2 linked regions of the Drosophila melanogaster genome follow. The protein of the gene in region 1 interacts with the protein of each later gene in a pairwise test. Each region holds a gene or a part of one and is shown in the gene's direction. Other genes may lie near its edges. The genes, in order: CG12594 and CG9864.

The links.
Region 2: the proteins of CG12594 (region 1) and CG9864 interact in a two-hybrid assay, tested with the Drosophila melanogaster proteins (one large-scale study listed by BioGRID).

The regions. Positions count from the first base shown.
Region 1 is NT_033777.3:11,718,018-11,727,186, forward strand, and holds the start of CG12594 (uncharacterized protein), read left to right. Parts: upstream 1-3,716; 5' UTR 3,717-4,335; exon of another isoform or gene 4,336-4,440; intron 4,441-8,997; 5' UTR 8,998-9,169.
Region 2 is NT_033778.4:20,245,843-20,257,700, reverse strand, and holds CG9864 (uncharacterized protein), read left to right. Parts: upstream 1-3,030; 5' UTR 3,031-3,145; intron 3,146-3,735; exon of another isoform or gene 3,736-3,815; intron 3,816-7,428; 5' UTR 7,429-7,474; coding exon 7,475-7,493; intron 7,494-7,799; coding exon 7,800-7,954; intron 7,955-8,044; coding exon 8,045-8,587; intron 8,588-8,647; coding exon 8,648-8,927; intron 8,928-8,991; coding exon 8,992-9,233; intron 9,234-9,298; coding exon 9,299-9,457; 3' UTR 9,458-9,571; downstream 9,572-11,858. Other genes in the region: Ate1 (arginyltransferase 1), read left to right, coding at 419-503, 577-1,011, 1,072-1,265, 1,466-1,618, 1,892-2,073, 2,130-2,293, 2,353-2,504, 2,563-2,655; ppk6 (pickpocket 6), read left to right, coding at 10,194-10,585, 10,643-11,379, 11,456-11,573, 11,628-11,737, 11,791-11,858.

The DNA.
Region 1 (9,169 bases):
TATAATGCAACAGTGTCCCGCAATAAATCTCATTAACGAGCACAAAAAAAAAATTGGGGGATCCGAAGGTCCTTCAAGGAGCAGTTCCACATTTTTGAGCTGTTGTTGCCAAGCACTCAATGGTTAGCAATGAAAATGTGTGCCAGGACGTGAGCATCTCGATTTGATTTGATAAGTTAGTTAGTACTTATGCTCGAATTTCAATTGGGTAACCAAGTTAGCTGCCCCATCCAGACAAAGCCAGAGTATCAATATATTTTGAGCTCAAATGGCAACACATCACAGTATTTGTGTGTGCGGACGGAATCCAATCCCATATAAGCTGACGATAAAAAATGGCTCAATTCCTTGCATAAACACAAATGCGAATTTAAATCGAATCGCAAAATTCCGAGGTGGTGAGCAGTTTGCAGCTCCTCGGTGGCAATCCATCATAAACCTGTCAGCCGCAATATGCCAAGTGGTTGCGGCGGTTCGGCAGCCCAACTCCCCCATAACCCTGTTGCACCATATGCCGTATCACATACGCCACATGCCACATGCCAGCCGATGCGTTGATAAGATTATTGTATAAAGATATTCCGCAGAACGCAACACATTTGCATACGGGGGCGCTGGTGCAAAAAGTGGCCTCGAATCGTAGTCGCAGTTGGATTCTATTACATGCCACGGGTCTTGCCGCCGGTTGCACGTTTAAATTGTATTTTGCCGACTGCCATCTGCTCGATGATGCCACGAGCTACAAATTTGCCAGTAAACACACAGTCGAGCGAATCCTGGCAGGCGGAACGCAATTGCTTCGCGCCCTGAAATATTAGCCTCGTTTGCCCGGAGTCGAGTCGAGTCGAGTGCCCTGCTCCTCCTGGTGGGCCCATCTTTATGGCCTCTGATTGCATTTGGCTGCCTTGGTAAAAATCACGTGGGCTATTGAACATTCTGCCCCCGAATTGTCTGCATAAATATTTAAATATTCCCAATATTGCAATCGTTTCTCAACTCAGTTTACGTTGTGAAACTGTAAATGATATGGGCCTTCAGATTTGGGCCTTTTTGTTGCGTCAATTAGGTTCATAGATCTATCGCCATTTCCCTTTGATGAAAATATATATACCCCATTGAGCCTAAAGTTCAAAACTCAATGTCAAGTATTTTAAAGCTTTTCCCACGCTCCAAACCCAACTAAACCAACTTCAAAGCCACACGCGGGCCAATAAAGCAAGGGCCAACTAACCCATACCCATCGAAATATTGACGCCTGGCCTCCTAATTGCTCGGCAAACGCTCACCAATTCATCGCACACCGGATCAGGAAATCGGGGATGTGGGGTAGGAAGAGGGCTTTGGCTTTACCCTCGCCTAAAATAAGTTTTTTTTAGCGCCGACAGCATTCCTTCTTTTTTCTCATCTTTTTTTTTTTTTTTGAAGGACGAAACGGCATCCGCCTCCAATTAGAGTTCTGCTGATTTGGCGCACTTAGCGAGCGGCATGTGTTTGTACGCCTCGCTGCCCGCCGTCCAACGGCCATGTCCTCGTCCTCATCGCCGTCGAGATGGGTGGTGGGCAGTGGGAATAGGAACCCATTAAGATCATGCTCCATTAATTGAGTTCCCATGAAATCGCCCCGGTCCATGTGAATGGCACTTGTTACTGGGGGCCGATTGGGATGGTGTCAAAATTGTGCATGTTCCAAATGGTTTTTGGCCATCCAAACTGCCGACGACTTTCACGCCAACCGCCCCCCCCCCCCTTCCAACACTTCCCTCTTGTCAAATTAAGCTACACTTGCAAAGCGCCAAAAGAATCGTGGGCGGAGGGGAGACGTGGGAGTAGGGATTCTGGGCAAGAAGAATTAAATATGCATGGCTATGTTTTGGAACTCGATTGCCAAGTGGGAGAGTTAGCCGCTTGCCATGGCTCGTAATTGTAATTAGCTTCTGCACAGAGAGAGGCCTCCAAACCGAATTGGATGAACAAAGGATCTGTGGGGCGTGGCAGATTTAGCGATTTTGGGCATTTGGCTGTTCGGGTGTTTGGCCAGTGGGTGCGAAATCAACCAAATTGTCTAAATGGGTTAGCACTGGCGCCGTTTGCCAGATAAAAGGCATAAATAATCAGCACATATTGGGTGTGAATCGGATTCAAGCAGTGTGCGGCGATTCCCTCAACGAATCGAGTTGTGAATGGAATGTTGCGAAATTACATTTGAAACATAGTTTAATGTGTGGAAAGCAATTGCATTTGTGTGGTTTTAATTTCGGTTCATTTCAGACTTACTGCCATTTTACAATTTAAACTACATTTGTGCAACATTCCATTTACTCTGCTCTTTGAAACATTTAAGGCACTTAAGTATTAATTTAAGAATATAAGGAAAACACTCGCTTTCCGAAATAAAGATCTGATAAATATGATTAATTGGCGGAACTCGAAATGTTTTGCGATTAACATCAAAGTTGCCACAAATATTAAGCACTCATTTCTAGCTTTTTCACAGCTTGCTCCTCTTAACTTCTGTTCTCCAAGCTGCCGTTGGCTATAATCCTTGGTCAGTCCGTTCGGTGGAAACTTTTGCCTGAGTCTGGGGACCCAAATGAAGTTTGTGGCCGCACTTAACCAAGCCGCAATAAATCAAAACACCTGGTGGTGGTACTTAAGAGTCATGCCACCCAGGACGACAGGCCAACAATGGTGCGACATGAGCAACAAAACAGATAGCAGCGAAGAAAGTAGAAAGGGATGTTTGGAAAAGGGTAGCGCAACCAAAAAACCCTAGCGTTAAATTAAAAGTTAAAGTCTTAGAAATATGATCATGATTTTTAATAAATCACAAATGTTAACCTCAGACTTACTGTAGATTGTCGAATCTATGATTTCGTCTTTAGTGCAAATATATCCTGTAAATTCGAACATCCTTAGCGAACGAAAATCATTTGAGAAAGGCTAGCAAAGTGCGAAATCAAAACTTTTACGGCCCCACAAAATAAGCCAAATGGCCAAGAAGGCGATAACGCCAGAACAACAATGGCAACAACAGGTGTTCGACACAGATTTCAACACTCACACAGCCGTACGCGCACTCACACACAGACACCAAGCCACCACATAAACGGTAACCGGAAATGAAAACATTGTTGCCTACTTGCAGGCGCAGCTATTTTGAATACTGACTTAGCCTGGCTGAATGCCGCACTTGCCAACTGCATCTAAAAGGGCTAAACAGAAACACACGCTCTACGCACTGTCAAGAAATGAAAAGTGAAAAACTTGCGAGCTGAAAAGTTTGTGACGAAGTTTTTTCTCGCACCTTTCTGCGTGTAGGAACGCTGAATATTCTACCCACAGAATGCAGTTAAAACTTGCAGCCGCAATTCAATTAAAACTTCAATGTTTTGCAAGTACAGCAAGTACATATCCCCGTTAACGTACATACATACACTCGTACTATACAAGAGTGGGGCTCCTTAACGGCTGGGATGACAGCAGCGTGCCAAGTGGCAAGTGCCAAGTGCCTCGGATGGCTTCAAACTTTGTTGTCCCGACCTCAGCTGTCCCGGTGTAAACAAACGCCCTGGAAATGGAAGCGGGCGGTAAATGAGCATTGGCTCAGTGGACCACGGACGGCCAGCAAAACAGCCGGCTTTGTGTTGCGTGTCGAAAGGAGGAAACAAAAATGAAAGAGGGAGTCAGTCCATCAGGATATTATCCGCGCAGGCGCAGGACCCACGGATCCTTGCCAACTATAAAAGCCGCTGTTCTGGCCAAAACCAAAGCAGTTCGTTCGTGGCGCCAGTCCGGAAAATTTCACAAAGCGGAAATACTTGGAAAACCATACTTGGTTTAACTTCAAACTCGAACTCGCTTGTTGATATTACGGCAAAGCTATAAAAACTGTAATTAGTTTGCGCTTGTGGGTTCGCAAAATTTAATCAGCCAGCCATGTGGTGAAAAGTGGGAAATAAATAAACAAACCCTTCGCAAGTGCATAATTACAATGCTAACGAACAAAAGAAACAATATAAACGAAATGCCAATACCGAATAGTTAGTCCAACAAAGTGACCACAAAGCAATCTAGTTTGCGTTGCCAATATAAATCAAATTGAAATCAGATTACAAGCTTAAATAGTTCAATGATTTGGCTTTCGTCGGACGAACAATGGTCACTAGTTATTTGAAGTGAGAAATTTATGCAAAACATCGCAAAATCTAAAATGTATAATTACATTTAACGAATCAACGTGTTTTTATTAAGTGAACCAGTATTAAATAAAATAAATAATTATAATCCGCAGTGTTTGTCTAATAAAAAAAAAAGAAGTGATTATCAATTATCTAGGTAAATACCGCATTAAAGTGTAAATTGGATTTCGATATTGGCAAGAACTTAACAAAGGCCAGTCAAAGGATTTTACCATAGCCAAATATCAAAGGAGCACATCACGTAATTATATTAAATTTCAAATGGTATCCCGGTGCTCCACGCACTGCCAACCGAGCGACCAGCTCCAAATATTTCCAGCTTACTTGTGGCCGCCTTTGGAGTCGGAGATTGATTCATGTTAAGGTCCCTCTGTGTTGGGTCTGCCACATGTGTGCGAGTCCTAGATCGTGTGGCATGCTGCTTAATTGCAGAGCAACCTCATCGCATCAGGCTCGCTTTGAGCCATTCCACAGCCACAATTTCATATTGTTACAAAATTGCATTGTTAATGGCCGTTGGCAACCCTCGACTGGCAACTGCTAACTGGCAACTGACAGTCGCTTCAAATGGGTTAAAGTGGTCCGCACCCACCAGGGGGGAATGGCAAATCCGTGGAAGTATGATATATATATATATATATATGTATGTATGTATTTAGGGGGCTTTGCCCATTTACATACCACACCATTGGTTAATGTGCAGCCCTTTATAATGGGGCAACTAACTTTTTGCTCTGTCAGCGCAAAATATCTGCGGTTATCTCGGCACCAGCGAATTTCTTTTGCACTTGCAATAAAAATAATCCCAGCATAGATAATGGATAATGGGGCGACCCGGAGCCAATGATTAGGACTCTCAATGTTCGAATAGGAGGCATGGGGGTGAACCTAACTTGGCCTGTTAAATCCATTTAACATCCTCATCGACGACCTCTGGGGTTTTGATAACCCTTTACTTCCACCAAGCCGCTTCCACTTCCACTTCCGCAACAATAACAATAACAGCAGGCAACAAGAACTGAGGCGCTCTTATGCCCATTAAGTGGCATTATAATTACAATTTGCACCGAGGGCCAGCAACCATGGAGACTGGCAGCTGAACTGGGAGCGGAAACGAAGGCCGACCCCGGCGATAAAGTTCCCATTCGAGGGGCTCATTAAGCTGGAAGGGATGGGGCCACTTAAGTCGGGCGGGTTAACGTTTAACTGCTGACGCCAGTCCGCTGGATTGACAGTACTCGTATTTGCCGAGCAGTCTAATCAGAGCCGGCCCAATTAGCAAATACGCTTAGCAAATAATCCGCAAGGATTTTAATTAATTGGACTGATGAAACGTACCCGTCGACTTACGTCGATGATCGGGCCCACTGCAGGTATCTACATTTTATCTCGTTCTTATGCGACGAACAGGCCCCGTAAACCGTGTGATATACAGTATACGAGTATAGTACGCTCGCCTGTTGTTGGCTGAAATTCGGATTTTCAAATTAATTGTGCGCATAAATTTCCCGGGGAGCCGGAGCTCCATGGCCATATCCTTCCTCATCCGCATCCGGAGCCAGAGCCAGAGCGAAAACCGGAGACGGCAACCTTTCGGCTTTGTTTTTGGGGCCAGAGCTGGCAATAAATTCACTTTCGTCTCAAATGAGTTTGCATAATTCAAATACCGAAAATTGAAATATATTCCCGGCAAATATTTGTTTAGTTATAAAGTGAATCTACCCCAATTTGTTATGATTTAAGCGTGCATCGAGATTAAGTCGCTTGGTTAATTGAGACGGGATTAACGTGAAAAATCGGTGGAATACAAATACTTTTTCCGCATAGCAATGGTTCGCAATCAATAAGCTCGGAATTTAATATAGCCACGGCGGAGGAGCTTAGGGCTGAGTGAAATTCCTGGGCATGAATGGCGTGTTCGTGGGAATAAAAGTTCAGCCAGCCTGAAACACGAACTCCGACTGCAAGTGATTTACATATTAGGACCTGCTGGAATTAAGTATCTCGAAGATAGCGCGTGGCAGATAAAACTATTTAAGCACTACACGCATACAATTCCAGCAGGATCTAGCTAATGGCTGGGAAGATTACGCATACGCCCCGTTGCGTATACGAATACGGATGCGGATTCGTCCCTGGGCTGGAAACACTATAAAATTAATTTTAAGACACTTGAAGCTTAATCATTCGCACAGATAAAAGGCGACAGTTGTCCCCGAGGATAATTGCGTATGCGTGTGGAACGGTTTGGGCCTTCAGTCAGTCGGTTTGATTCCTTCGAGGGTCCTATGGGTTCCTTTTTGTGCGATGCCTGGCACTCACGGCATAATTTGGGTACAAAATATTTCCGCCAGTCCCTGACCCAAAAAAAAAAGGGACACAAGCGAGGATACCCCCGCCACTTGTGGAAGTTTGGCCAAACGTGCTGGGCTTTCAAACTTGCCCAGTCGACCGAGGGGGTGGCTATCAGTTATACGAGTCCTCGGGGATCCACTCTTGTTAAACTCGCATCCCGCTGCTCACATTGTTGTCAGGCGGCAGGGACCACTCGAAACATGTCGGAGATTTGCGTGAGCCAACTGCCTTTTGATATTCAATCATCTCGAGCGACGGGCATCCAATAATAGCAACAATATGCACACGCAGAAAATAGGGAAAATACATTTTTCGGGACGGTATATCCAGAGTTCATAATTTTTATTCACTGTGTTATCAAAGGATTCTTTGGTGTATCTGCTCAATCTTAGTACATCACTAAAGTATCCACTTAAACAGACCCATTCTTATTTAAGTATATTCCTTTACGTAATCAAAGTTATGAAATAAATCAAATTGTTGTTTTCATATAGGTAGAAATAGTACATATTTTTTTAAGTGTATATTTGCACACATGGGTTGCTTGACTTTTAGCCGGCCTTCAATTTGTTCATAATAATGTCCGCCTATTTTTGAAGTGTCACAGCGTGGGCGGAAACATTGTATTTTGATGTTTCCTTTTTCCTGCCTTCAAAAGGAAATTGAAATCGATGTGTGGATGGGATTTACCCTCATCCTCGAAATCTCCTCCAAAAGAACTCGTCACAATTCAAGTAATGAGAACCATAAAGGCGGAAGACAATACTAATTTTCGTTAATGCGATGGGATGTCCGAGAATTTCCCCAATGGACCACAGAATCGCGGCGAAGTTCGTTAAATATGCATTCGGCTTAGCCGTTGGACTTTTCCGACTGATTTATGTATATATGTACGTGCCTTGCCGCTTGGCTCACCTTGGCCAAGTCGATTTGGAATTCAAAAGCTTTTAACAGATTGTCGCTGGCAGTAACTTTGCCAATTTGCAAAAGTTCAACTGAGCAGCAACGAGAGCAAAACAAAATGGATTAAGGGCAATAAAGGCGGAGTAAAAACAATAACAATTACACTGATTGCCGCCCCCGGAGAATACGATGAATGTTGAGTGACGACCTGCCGGTCAGTCGAACGGAAACGGAAATGGTAGTGAAATGGGTAGTGGAAAGGGTAGTGGAATGGGTAGTGGAATTGGTAGTGAAATTGGTAGTGCAAGCGGTACGGAACTGTTAACTCGTTCGCTCGCCTACATTTTTCTGGGCCAACCGATAGACGAACAACCATGGCCATAAAACAATTGAGGTCTCAATTTTGCACAACCCGACGCACATTTGCATTCGTTTCCGAATTGGCGCGTGTTGTACATTTTCCATTTCGCACTGGGACCGCAGGACACCAAGGATGCGACCCGGTTGCGCTGAAAAATCGGAGCGCAGCTTTTGTTAGCCCCTGGAAGTGCACATTTATCTACAGAAAATGTTTTGCCGCTGGCCCTTTTGTGCGTAAAAATTCTATTTGATTGCACGTTTATGTTGTGGATTTAACTTTTAGTCCCCTTTTGCCAACTCCACCGGGCACTGAATCTTCCACTGGTTACTCCAATGGCCATTGTTTGCCCAGCCAGTATGCTGCAGAAGTCCTTAATCCAGATATTTATTTCCTGCACCAGGATATGAAAGCGAATGCAACGACTTTGATGGCCCCAAACCCCAGCATCCTGTGATCCTGCACCGCCTGAAGTAATCTTGGTCCTTAAGCTTCTTGTTACCAAAAGAACCTTTTATGGCCGCTATAAATTCTCGTAAATTTTGTGTTCCTGAGAGGAAGTACAGGTGGCCAAGAATAGCTATTATACCTTAAATAAATCTAAAATCAAATGAATTAGCTTGCTACAAAATGCAAGTAGGAAATACTTCATTGTAAAGTACATTAACGATTTAAGATTTTTTTAGTAGGAAGCTTGTATTTTATTATTTTCAATAATTTGTTTAAGTAAAACTCAGATAAGTTACCACAAACTGTAAACTGAAAACATCTTTCATTCAGTTTCTTTAAAGAGCATATTGCAAAATCACTTTGATAAAAGTTGCAACATTAATACAAATATACTCCCTTTGACAACAATTGTCGAATAAAAATTACAAAACACATGCAAATCTGTGACATTGAAAGAAAATCGTGCATATATGAATTCGACCCTTTGCAAAAGCTTCCTTGGGGAAACTAAAATAGACTTCCATAGGTACAGATAGCGATATAACATTTTATATAAATCATAGCAGAATGTAGCCACTGCAACCTGCAGCTATTATCATGCAAAACCCGGCACCATTATTTGAATAGAATTGAAGATTCGGTTGACGGGCTGGGGCTGGAGGGGTCCTTTTGTCCTTTTTGTCCTTTGGCAATGCCACCTCAATCAAGCTCTTTTTACCCATCTTTCCGCAGGCCAACGATGAATGCAGGTGCTGTGTGAAAGTGCCTCTGTTCCTGGAGAGGGACGGATCCAAGTTGAATCAAAGCCGGAACGTGACTTTTGCCGAAAGTAAATTGAGCCACCGCAGCGATAAAAGCTGCCATGCCAACCGGCGAGTGGCGCTAGGACACTCGTAAAGATAAA
Region 2 (11,858 bases), on another chromosome or scaffold:
TTGCGGCTCCAAACATTACTATTCTTATAGGACTTAGCACCGATTTAACCGATTTGGCCAGTGTGACCGTTTTGAGGCACAATAGGGGCATTCCCATAATTTTTTAAGCTTAAACATATTTTTACAATGATTCAATTCAATATAACATTTAATATAATTTTAAATATATATTAGAGAATAACTTTATAAATCCAAATATGCTAGAAACTTTATCTCTTAGATGAGATATGAATGTAATTTCTAATTACAGTGTACATGGCCTATTACCATTTATGGCGCCAGTATTTTTTAATCGGCGAGCACTGGTCACACTGCTTGCATATAAAATTTCGCAACAGAGCGGCTTGCAGCTTTAATATTTTAGTCGTAATTAAATGCAATATGTTTGTACTATAAACGCCGTCGGAAGAGCTTAATAATGAGCTTGAGCATTGTGAGTTACTATGGCAGCCAGCAGAGCAAGTGCGGCTACTGCGCGGGAGCGAACTGCAGCCTGTCGCACGGTGAGAACATGCAAAACCAGTCCAAAAACCAGGTGCAATGTACCAATTATTGTGGATTCGTCATAAATGACAGGTATGCACGCGTATCAGCTGGACTGCCGGGACTATCAGGACCTCATCGATCGCGGCTGGCGGCGGTGCGGCTACTACTGCTACAAGCTGCGCAACCAGGAGACCTGCTGCCCCTGCTACACAATCAAATGTAATGGCCTGGAGTTCAAGCTCTCCAAGTCGAACAAGCGCATACTTCGCCGCATAAATCGATTTTTGCGCGACGGCAAGCGAGAGTCCAAACCGGAAGCCGGCGACGGTGACGGGGAAGCCGATGCCGATTACGCCATAGTGGCTCCCGAGGTCACGGCCAGCGAACCGCAACCCCAGCTGCCAGATAAGAGTCCCCCTGTTATCAATGTCGAGCAAGTTGCATCACTGGCAACGGCTCAGAGGAAGCCGACGAAGCAGGCAACTGCTGCCGCGGTGGAAGCTCCTACGTTGGGGTCCAACAAATGTGCGTATGCTCCTTAATGCCTTAATGCCACAGTAATATATATATTATTTATTATATTAGCATCACTCTTATCTTCATCAGCCGCAGCACCGATCTCAAACAAGCCGTGCAAGAAGGCCAAGCAGATGCGATTGGATCGACGGCTGGCCAAGCTGGGAGACTCGGCCTCCTACTCAACGAAATCCCTTACCCAGGAAAAGACACTTCGCGACTTCTTGAACACGGACAGCGAGACAAACAAACATCGGCTAAAGGTGCGTTGCGAATAAATGTGGATAGAATAATTAGTTAGACCGTTTGCAAAACTAAGCTGGATAGCGTGAACCTATGTACATATGTTGATAAGGGTTTACACTGTATATTGCGCCTATGTGTTTCCTGTGTCCGTTCCCCGAGTATAAGTCTCCCGCTACATGTAGACACATCTGTCTTTGTGCTGTTTGTGTTCTTGCAGATCGTGTTAGTCGCTTCCTCAGACACAGAGCGCACTTGTGCCGATGCAGTGATCGCGTTGTATCGCAAATACCAAATAACCGTTCATAATGATAACCCCGCACGCCTCACCCTAGCTAGTATGCAGCGGTTCTTGGTCAAATCGCCTCTTAAGGTAATTATAAACGAGTATTCATCTTTGCCCCAAAAATGTATTCGCAGCTGCGCTTAATTCACGTCTACGACGACGAGTTCCGGCGGACCCTGCCCCAGAGTTTTGCGCTCTATAAGAAGTATCAGATATCGATACATAATGATCCGCCAAAGGATCAGGACGCGTACAAGGAGCATCTGCAGGCGACTCCCCTACAGGTTTTTCTCTATAATAATTCATACATTTAAAAGCTTTACTTCTAACCTCATAATTCCGGGACGTTTTTGCTTGCAGAATGAGAAACCCTGGGATGGTCCCGAAATGGGCTACGGTTCGTTTCATCAGCAGTACTGGCTGGACGACAAGTTGATTGCCGTCGGCGTGATTGACATTCTGCCGGGTTGTGTAAGCTCGGTGTACTTTTTCTACGATCCGGACTATAGCTTTTTATCGCTTGGCACATATGGTTCACTCAGGTAAAGCAAGATTCCGAGCAAAGAAAGATAAAACTGCATAGAAGAAATTCTTACAGGGAAATTGAATTGGTGCAGTCGCTCGCCGAGAAGGTGCCTTCTCTCAAGTATTACTATATGGGTTTCTACATACACTCCTGTCCCAAAATGCGCTACAAGGGCAAGTTGTCCCCCTCTTACTTGCTGTGCCCGGAGACCTATGAATGGCTACCGCTCACCGATGGTAAGTTTGCGATTTTCTTGTTAATATTCTGTACTAATAACAAACACGTATATATTCAGTTATTCGTGCTAAGCTAGACGAACATAAATACCAGCGCTTAAACGAAGATCCTGCAGCTAGGGATGTGAATGAGTTTTTGATGGAGCATTTGGACGAAGTTAAGCTGCTCTTGGGTGGAAGAACCCGCACAGACTACAAGCACTTTAGGCAGGCATGTTTATTATCATTAACATCAGTGGTTCATAATCTAATATACGTTTTATTTACAGCTGCGTGGGACCGTCTCCGATGACGATATCATTATTGAGTACAGCAAGCTCGTGGGAAAAGAGTGTGCTCGGCGCATGCTATACGTGAAGTAAAGTTGCCATTATTTGAATTTTGAATTAAATGCCGTTCGCAATAGCAATATGTTGAAAATATAAAATATTTTAATAATTCCACCGGTCTTGCACCCAATATAGTTGTAATCATTAGCAGACACTTGATTACCCCTTGTTGTTTGCCTACACCAGGTAAGCGCCACTGTTGGAATGTAAAGAATAATATGCTCGTCATTCGTACATATTTTTCTGAAAAGCTGACAGCTTTCCACTCATAATCGCCTCTTATCAGAAACAAGCAGCTAAATGCATCAATTAAGCTTTATGGGCTGGCAACATTCTGTGTTGGTACAAGTCGGATAACCGCTGGAGATAATGTACTTTATAAGCCACTCCAGGGTGAGATAGTTGGCCAGGAAGCCAATTGTTGCCGTGAAATCAAGTCGTTTACAGCAGTGGAACAAGTCGGATGTGTCCAAAGGGTTCGGATTACCAACTGTCTACGCTGGAAAGAGTGTTCTTGCCCAAGGTGAGGAGTGTGAGAAGTTATTTGCGTCTGAAGACGAGCGCTTAATTATAAATAAACTTGTGTCAATAATATCTGTTCTGCTCTGGCTTTTCACCGGCATTCGCCAAGTGCGCTAATTAAACAAAAATTAAATTATAAAACAACGGTCAAGTAAGTTTTTACAGCACGTGTATTTTATGGTGATATTTTTTTTTCCAAATTTATGAATACTATCATTCGCCAGTTTGGGTTGGGATTTACCAAACAAATTAGTAATATGAATATCGGGGTGGTAATATTTTTGAATTATTAGTCACCGTGTTTATTGGCTTACATTTTAGCACAATTTTGTGAGATTTGTTGTTAACAAATTTCTCGGCACATTTTCGTTGCGCCAATCGCATGCGATTTTTGGCACGCTATCAGAAAGCGTTAAAAAAAGGCAGTTCGACGTTGAGCTTCAACCGACGGCAGCAATTTAAACAATTTTTAACCGTTTTAACCGGTGCTGCCGCCGCTGAAAACGAGACTGCGACTGCGGCAGGTGGAAGTTTTGCTTAAATCGTCGCCCCAAGTAGATGTATATATGCCATTGGCAACCGCCGATTTAGCTTCATTCGCCGCGCGACGTTCTCAGCAGTCCGTTTCGCCCGCTGAGCAGCTCCTAGACAACAAGTGGCAGCCACAAAAAGTGAGTTCGGCGCAGCCTAGCCTATCTATTTCCCCCACGCATTTCGACGAGAAAGTCCAGTTTTCTTTGGGCAGTTAAAAAAAAAAAACAGAAGCAGAAAACAGAAATTGCTGCAGCTGCGTGCAGATCAGATGTTTCCCATCCATATTAATCCGATATTATTGTTTTGGGCTTCGTGGTAAAATTCCATGCAAAATTGGTGCCACGAAGAAGTGCGAGCGCAGATAAGCGGAGATGACTTTGAGTGTTTTGTGATCGCGAGTGGCTTGTGTCTGTGTGTGGGGTCTAGTCTAGACCATGATCTATTGCAAATTTTCCATAACGAATTGATGCGAAGAAATCTGCTGAGACAGGCCCCCCTTTTCATATTATATTTGAATGTTTGGCTGTATAAATAGGAACATTCAGAGTGGGATGTCTTGGAAGAGAGAAATCGAAATCGAATCGTATCGGAATGCCAGCTTAATTAGGCTTTGACCGTTTTATTTTCAGTTACCCGAAAATTTGCATTCCAAATAATAACAGGTTTCGTTATTTTGATTCATTGAACCGCGACCACCGACCCCACCGACCACCATTCCCAGCAATTTCAATTTGATATCGCTACTTCCACCACGACTTGGCAACAAGTTGGTCCACTGTCATCTCGAGTGGTTGCAGCTCATTTGGCTCAGGATTAGAGACTTTGGACCCAGGCTGGACAGGTTGATCAAAAGAAGTCTCTAGCTTGTGCAGATACAGGTTTGGATCTACGCAAAAGATTCATTGGGTATTTGTTTTTTTTATGCAACTCTATTCGAAACGTTCGCTTGGCGAACCTTTTTAGTTTTGTGAATAACAAATATTCACACTCGTGATTTTCTATTAGCATGTGCGTGCAATATTCGCAATTGTCGCATTGATTTGGACAGGCATTTACTACAATCATTGCTAGTTTCATGCGCCACGTAATTTTCCGAAATTTAATTATAACGTGCAAAAATGCAAAACTAAAACAAAAGAAATGAAAAAAAAACAAAACACAAATTATATGATTTCAATGGGAATTGGTGCAAAATGGCAGTTCAGTTCGCCCCAGTGAGGCTATGAGAACCCAATTTAAGCAAATACAATGTTCCACAACAATAACTGACAAGCGAAGTGGGTTCATTACCGATCTTGATTTGTGTTAGCCAGTTACGCCTGATTGCCGCTAAAATAACCAGCAGAGTTCTATGCCAGAATCGAACTCCACTCCATACGATACCATTTTCGATGGGCATGTTGGAACTGGAGGATACCGAGAAAAGGGCGAAGACAGACGAGACCAACCTTAAATCGTGCCAACTGGGTAGCCAGCCAGCAGAGAGTCTTATGTAAATGGAACGCGTGTTATGAATACCCGCGAATACGACTACTCGGTTGCTTCATCTTCGGATTCGTGGCTGACCTGCATATATAGAGATATACATATGTATATCGCTCATATTGGATCCTTCGAATCGAGCGCTCTCCGATCGTAAATCAAATCATTTAACGTGGTAAACACACAGGCTAATTGCCGATTAACCTGACTCTAATGATGGTCGTTCGCCAGTTGATATAGCCAACTAACTTATCACGACCATGCCAATGTGCTATAAAACACCTCTTTATGGCCATCATAAATTGCCGAGCTGATTTTATAAAGTCAATGGCGAGGATGTTGATAAGGGCGTAACTCCGTAGATTAGAACGAGAAGCTGGCGCTAACTTAATGGCCCATATATGTATAGTCAAAATATAGGCAAAAACCCAGAGAAACAAAACCTAATGATTTGTTTGGGCTTTCAGCAGTTTATCGGGTATCCAGATCGCTGTAACATCATTCCCTGCAATTAGTCAGAAGTACGGCCAAAATGAATGCCCAAGGTCATTAGTCGCGTTCTTTGATCTCTGGGCAAAGGTATAATTAAAAGATTTCAATACACGTATTGCACATCAATAATTCCCCATCAACTTGTTCCCACTATTCTGCCAAATTAGTTTGCTCAAAATCATCTACGAGTGTTCGCAGTCAACTCACGTAATTAAAACCATATGCAATCATAAAACCAAATGCCACAAAGGGTTAGATGGCCTTTGGTCTTGGCTCTTTTTATTTTTGCCATAATCCAGTTTGTGGTCTAGTCCACAGGAAGAAAAACCCGTCCATAAATGGAGTTTTATGCATAGAAAGGGAGCTATTTTTACTGCTGCCGTTGGCTCCATTCAGGTAACTTAAGATTGCTTATCACAGCGTGCGTAAAGCAGGTATATGTACTATATTTATGGCCACTTTCTCAGTAAGACCTTTAATCGGATTTCATGATTTAGTACGTGTTTAGTACGGGAAGTCGATCCAATTGGGCACTTGCATTTTCAATTTTGGCCGGCTATCTAGGGCGATCATTAAGCTATCCAAGCAACAAGTGTTCGATCTCAATATAATTCTTAATTAAACGCCAGTGTGTCTTTATGAATAGCAGTCGCGCACAAACATATCAGTTTTTTTTGTTTGTTTGTTTGTGCGAAATGCAGCGAGGGCAGCTGTTTAAATGATCCAACTACCAGAACATTACTTCCCTTACATCTAAGCCATATTATCGCAAGATCATATCCCATAGATAGTTAGAATGGTTAGATTGGAAAATGGACATAGCATGCCACGGGTCAATTATTGTCAATGTTGCTTCATCACTGCCGCAAAACTCTGACGTCGCCAATGCCATTCGACACTTTCGTGGCACGAAATTAAATTGGCGACGAAAGTGTTTAAATTTGATTTAGTTATGCATTTTGATTTGACTAAACGGGGCACTCACGTGCCGGTTTTCGAGTGCCGAGCGGTACGTGCTTATAAAATTTCAACAAGTGCATTGCACGCAGATAATGCCAAAAAGCACTCTCGACCGATATGAAAAATGCGCAAAAAAATTCACGGCTAATTCTAAATAGACCGTTACACGTGCAAGTTAACAACAATCGCGGCTATCACATTCGAAATAGAGCTGAATTAATGGATGTCGCTTATTTACTATATAACAATGTTAACAGATTGTTGAAGTTATCTGGTTGTTGCATTTAATGAACGGAAATGTGTATTTGAACTTATATTAAATTGTATCTTTATTGTCAGTTAGATGACAGTGCTAACTAAGCAGCCGATTAAGTTATCTGTTTTTTTAGATGAAATAAGTTTTTCAGCCAAAAAAGCAAGTTTTCAAGTTTTCAGTAAGTTTGCAAGCATTTATAATAATTTAGAGCTGCAAATATAGTACTTACTTAATAATAGTGATAAATTGCTTTTTAAAAACCATTATTCATTTCCTTAACCTAATAGAGCAAAAACAAATTAAAAGCAAATCAATAATGAGTTTGGACAACGGGTATCCGAAACGTATATGTACATTTATTAAAATTGATCTAGTGTTTCCGAAAATAGCCCTGAATGATTCGGCATTTTTAGCCTCAATAATTTAATTCAATAAATTCACAAATATTTTGCATTTTAGCGAATGTGTGGGGAAATACCCGCACTCGTTTGTACGTAAAGTGATCTGCATCCGAAGATGTGGCTAACCAACCGATTCCTGTTGTTTTCTTCGTTTTTCAGCTGACAAGCGACGCGAGGCTACGGAGCCATAACAAAAGCCGCCGAAATGGCCTTCATGCCGTGCTGTAAGTACCCAAATATATTATGGCCACACGCTCGGAATTGTCGTCAATAAGGCCTCACGTGATGATCTTCGATCGGAGCACCGACATCCCCGAAATCCCCGACATGATATCCATCACAAATATTGAAATTTGCGCATGCGCAGCCCATTAGAAATCTGTGACCCGTCCCCAAAAAAAAACGGGAATGGGGAGATCTTTTCGATCCGCTAATTGATCTAACGTGTTGCGAGGGGCCTGCCTGTACCTCTATTCATAAATTGAATAACGATCCGTTGGTCAATAATCAATATTTGCTGTCGTTCGCAGTCTATGTGCCCAAGCGGATTAACCTGGCGATCATGCTCTTCATGGCCTGCCTCCTCAGCTACATGATGCGAGTGAATCTCTCGATCAACATCATCGCCATGGTGGAGGACACGAGCAGCCACGAGAATGGAACGGAGGTGGAGGCACTGCCCGATGTGAGTTTAATCAATGGGAATCAGGATACTAGGGATTATCCTCTATCGATTCTATCTAATCCATTTTGTTTTTTGGCATATTCCACTTAGTATGGACCGCGCTACAACTGGACGCAATCGGATCAGGCTCTGCTGCTGGGTGCCTATTTCTATGGCTATATGATCACCTCACTGCCCGCCGGCACTTTGGCCGAGATGCTGGGAGCCAGAAATGTGGCAGGTTACAGTTGCCTGGTGGCCGGCATCCTGACAGCTCTAACTCCGGCGGCAGCTGCCTGGGACAAATATGCGGTGTTTGCCGTGCGTTTCTTGATCGGCTTCCTCAACGGTGTCGTGTATCCGTGTTGCCACAGCCTTGTTTCCAAGTGGTCGCCTCCGGATGAGAAGGGCAAGTTTGTGGCCTCGCTGATGGGTGGCACTTTTGGCACCGTCATCACATGGCCCATTAGCGGTGTGATCATCGAGAATCTGGGCTGGGATTGGGCCTTCTACATTGTGGGCATATTCGTGCTGGTGGTGGTCGCTATATGGTTCTACCTTGTGGCAGATACTCCTGCCCAGCACAGTACGATCAGTCTGAAGGAGCGGGAGTATATCGAAAGCAGCTTGGGCGACACTCTGAGCAACAAGAAGGTATGTTGGTCCATAAAAAGCAACTAGGACTTATTTACACATTTGTTGCAACCTTTGTAGAAGTGGCCACCATACAAGGAGCTCGTCCTGTCGCTGCCCTTCTGGTCGCTCATGATGCTCCACTACGGCAGCATGTGGGGTCTGTTCTTCCTGATTACCGCCACGCCCAAGTTCTTGAGCGAGGTCCTGGGCTTCAATCTCTCGTCCGCTGGCTTCCTGTCCAGCCTGCCACATGTGGCACGTCTGCTCTGCGCCTTCGGTTTTGGCGCCGTGGCGGATTGGATACGTCGACGTGGCTGGTTGTCGGTGACCCGCATGCGCAAGGCCTTCTGCCTGCCCTGTAAGTGTGCCTATATTATTCTACATTTGATTATACTATAGCCATACGATTTAACTTTGATTAGCTCACATCTTGCCCGGCGTCATGCTGATCATCCTGGCCTACTTTGGTCGCGATCCCTATGTGTGCGTTGCCATTATGACCATTTCGCTGGGCTTCAACGGAGCTGCCACCGCCTCCAATTTGGCCAACTCACAGGATCTGGCGCCCAACTATGCGGGCACGCTGTACGGCATCATTAACTGTGTTGGCACCACGCCCGGAATCTTTTCGCCTCTGATTGTGGCCGCCTTTACAAAGAACGAGGTTTGTGGCGATTCTCTAGAAATCCCGAATATCCATCCCATTCATGAATTTTCCATACTCCATAGAACACAATCGATCAGTGGCACTGGGTGTTTATCATTGGAGCCGCTGCCTACATATTGCCTGCGCTGTTTTTCTGGGTCTTCGGATCGGGTAAAATCCAGAAGTGGAACGAGGTTCAGACCACCGAGTCGCGAGAGGATATTGTCAACACAAAGTTGTAGTTTGTGCCCTGGCAATCACCTGTGATTATGTACTTTAAGTATTATGCCATAACGACGATGTGTACTTCTTTATGGAGAGAGTCCTATTAAAACTTTAGCCGTGTATTTATTATTAACCAATATGGTTTCATTTCGCGCACGTGAATTCTGAATCACGAGTCAGTTGAGATCGAAACCAGTTTCTCTTAGATTGGCATAACGACCTTAACCTGGTCGGGGAATATACTCTGGCGAACTGGTTGGGGGCTCTTTGCAGAGTTTGTTTGCTGATTAGGAACTCATGGTTGAAGAAACGGAATTGACACCCGTAATTAGTCAAATGCTAATCAAATTTGAGGACACTTTTAGCCAACAAATTGCCGTTTTTAATTGCGTATTAACGTCATGCCCAACAAGTTGATAGTAGGTTAGCGGCGAAGTCAAAAACGCAATTTATAAGGTGTGAAAATTCATTTTAAAATCAAAATTAAAAGATTTAGTCATAGAAATTGAGGGAAATACCAGTTACTCAAAATATTTATTATATCCACACATCTCAGAGTATTATAATTAATGGTTATAGTGTACAAGTTAATTAATTCGACCAATAAACTTTTAGAATAGTTAACATACGGCTAATGGTCACAAGTTAGTCACTCCATTAACCTATAATTAGCACCCATTATTCCAGGCATTAAGGACACTAGCCTGGCCTATAAAAGCAAGGAAGTTGAGCACCAGCTGCAGACAGTACAAAATGATAGAATCGGGAAAGTGGCCAACGCCAGGAAAAAAGAACTCCAAAGGCGATGGGAGCAGAAAGCGTGGAAAGGATCCAAGTTTGATTAGGACAGCCATATTGGCCACTTTCTGGGAGTACACGGAGCGGACCAAGGTGAGCGGCATGTGGCTTATGCGTCGGAATCGTACCTACGGTCTGTCCCGGTTCATCTGGTCCTCGGTACTGCTGCAGTTGCTCCTGCTGAGCATCTACCTCACCCTGCTGCTGTGGCTGAAGTTCTACTCCTACCCCATTCTAAACACCATCTCCAATGATCTTTCCATCACGGATGTCGCATTTCCGGGCGTTACCATCTGCAGTCCGAAGGTGGTCAACTCGGAGCGGGTCGATCGATATGTCAAGACGCTGTAAGGAGCTCGGAAGTAAGCTTAGAATAACCACTAAAAGTTTTCCTTCCCTTAAAGTAAAATTCCCAAGGAGTACGACATGGCAGAGGTGATCGCTGGATTTGATTTCCTTAACGCCTTCACGGATCAGAGCTTTGAGCCGCCGGGACACGATAGCTATCGGGCCACCGATGCCGTTCTTCGGCTGAACAACGTGTCCATCTGGGAGGCGGCCATGGCCGTCAGTCCGGGTTGCTTCGATTACGTGAAGCGCTGCTTCTGGGGCCACACGGAGTTTCAGTGCAACCAGAGCCACGAGTACCTATCGTTCATTCCCACCACTGCGTATCTGGGACCCTGTTGTTCCTTCAACTATAATCCCAGGAACGCCAGCTTCGTGCCCTTCTCGGCCAACATTTTTGGGATGGATGGCGGACTGACCTTCGTGGGTGCGGAGGGCAGCGAGCGGAACTTAAACACTGGCCTGATAGTACTGGTTCACCATCCCATGGACTACGTGACTGAGGCTGCTGCCTCGGTGACCATTACCGCTCAATCCGAAAGCTTTGTGGAGGTATCGCCCACGGTGCAGAGCTCCTCGGTGGAGGTGCTGGAACTTTCGGAACGTAAGAGGGACTGCCTCATCTCGGGCGACCTGCAGCTGAGCAACTATCGCCAGGCCGCCTGCCTTCTCGCCTGCCAGACGGAGGCCATCGTCAAGAAGTGCGGCTGCCATCCGTATCTGCTGCCCATCGTGGGCAACAAGTTCAAGGAGTGCAATCTAAACGACACCTTCTGCTATTCTGCCAACTATGGTGGGTATGGTTTAGGGCTTAGTGGTTTTAAAGAGGGGTTCCTTAATATAAAGGGGTTACCTTTCTATCTGGGTAGATAACTTCAAAAGTGTGCGCTGTGATCAGTGCCTGCCCAATTGCTATGATGTCACCTACTCCACGCTGTCCTACAAAACCGATCTCAACCAGCATAAGTACTCAGTCAGCCGCTTCTAGTAAGTAATAATATGGATAACTTAATGGGTTATTGACTGGTTTTTATTCCACAGCTCTCCGGAATTGCTTAACAACGACAGTTTTGTGCTCCGGGTCTATTTGGCCAAACAAGTGGTTCCAGTTATCCGGAAAGTGACTGTTATGTCTTGGATAGGACTATTATGTGAGTGGATAAGCCGTCTCAAAGATGAAATATTTTAATTGCACTCATTTCAGCGGATTTGGGTGGCATCTTTAACCTCTGCCTCGGACTAAGTATGATTTCAGTAGTTGAGTTCTTTTAC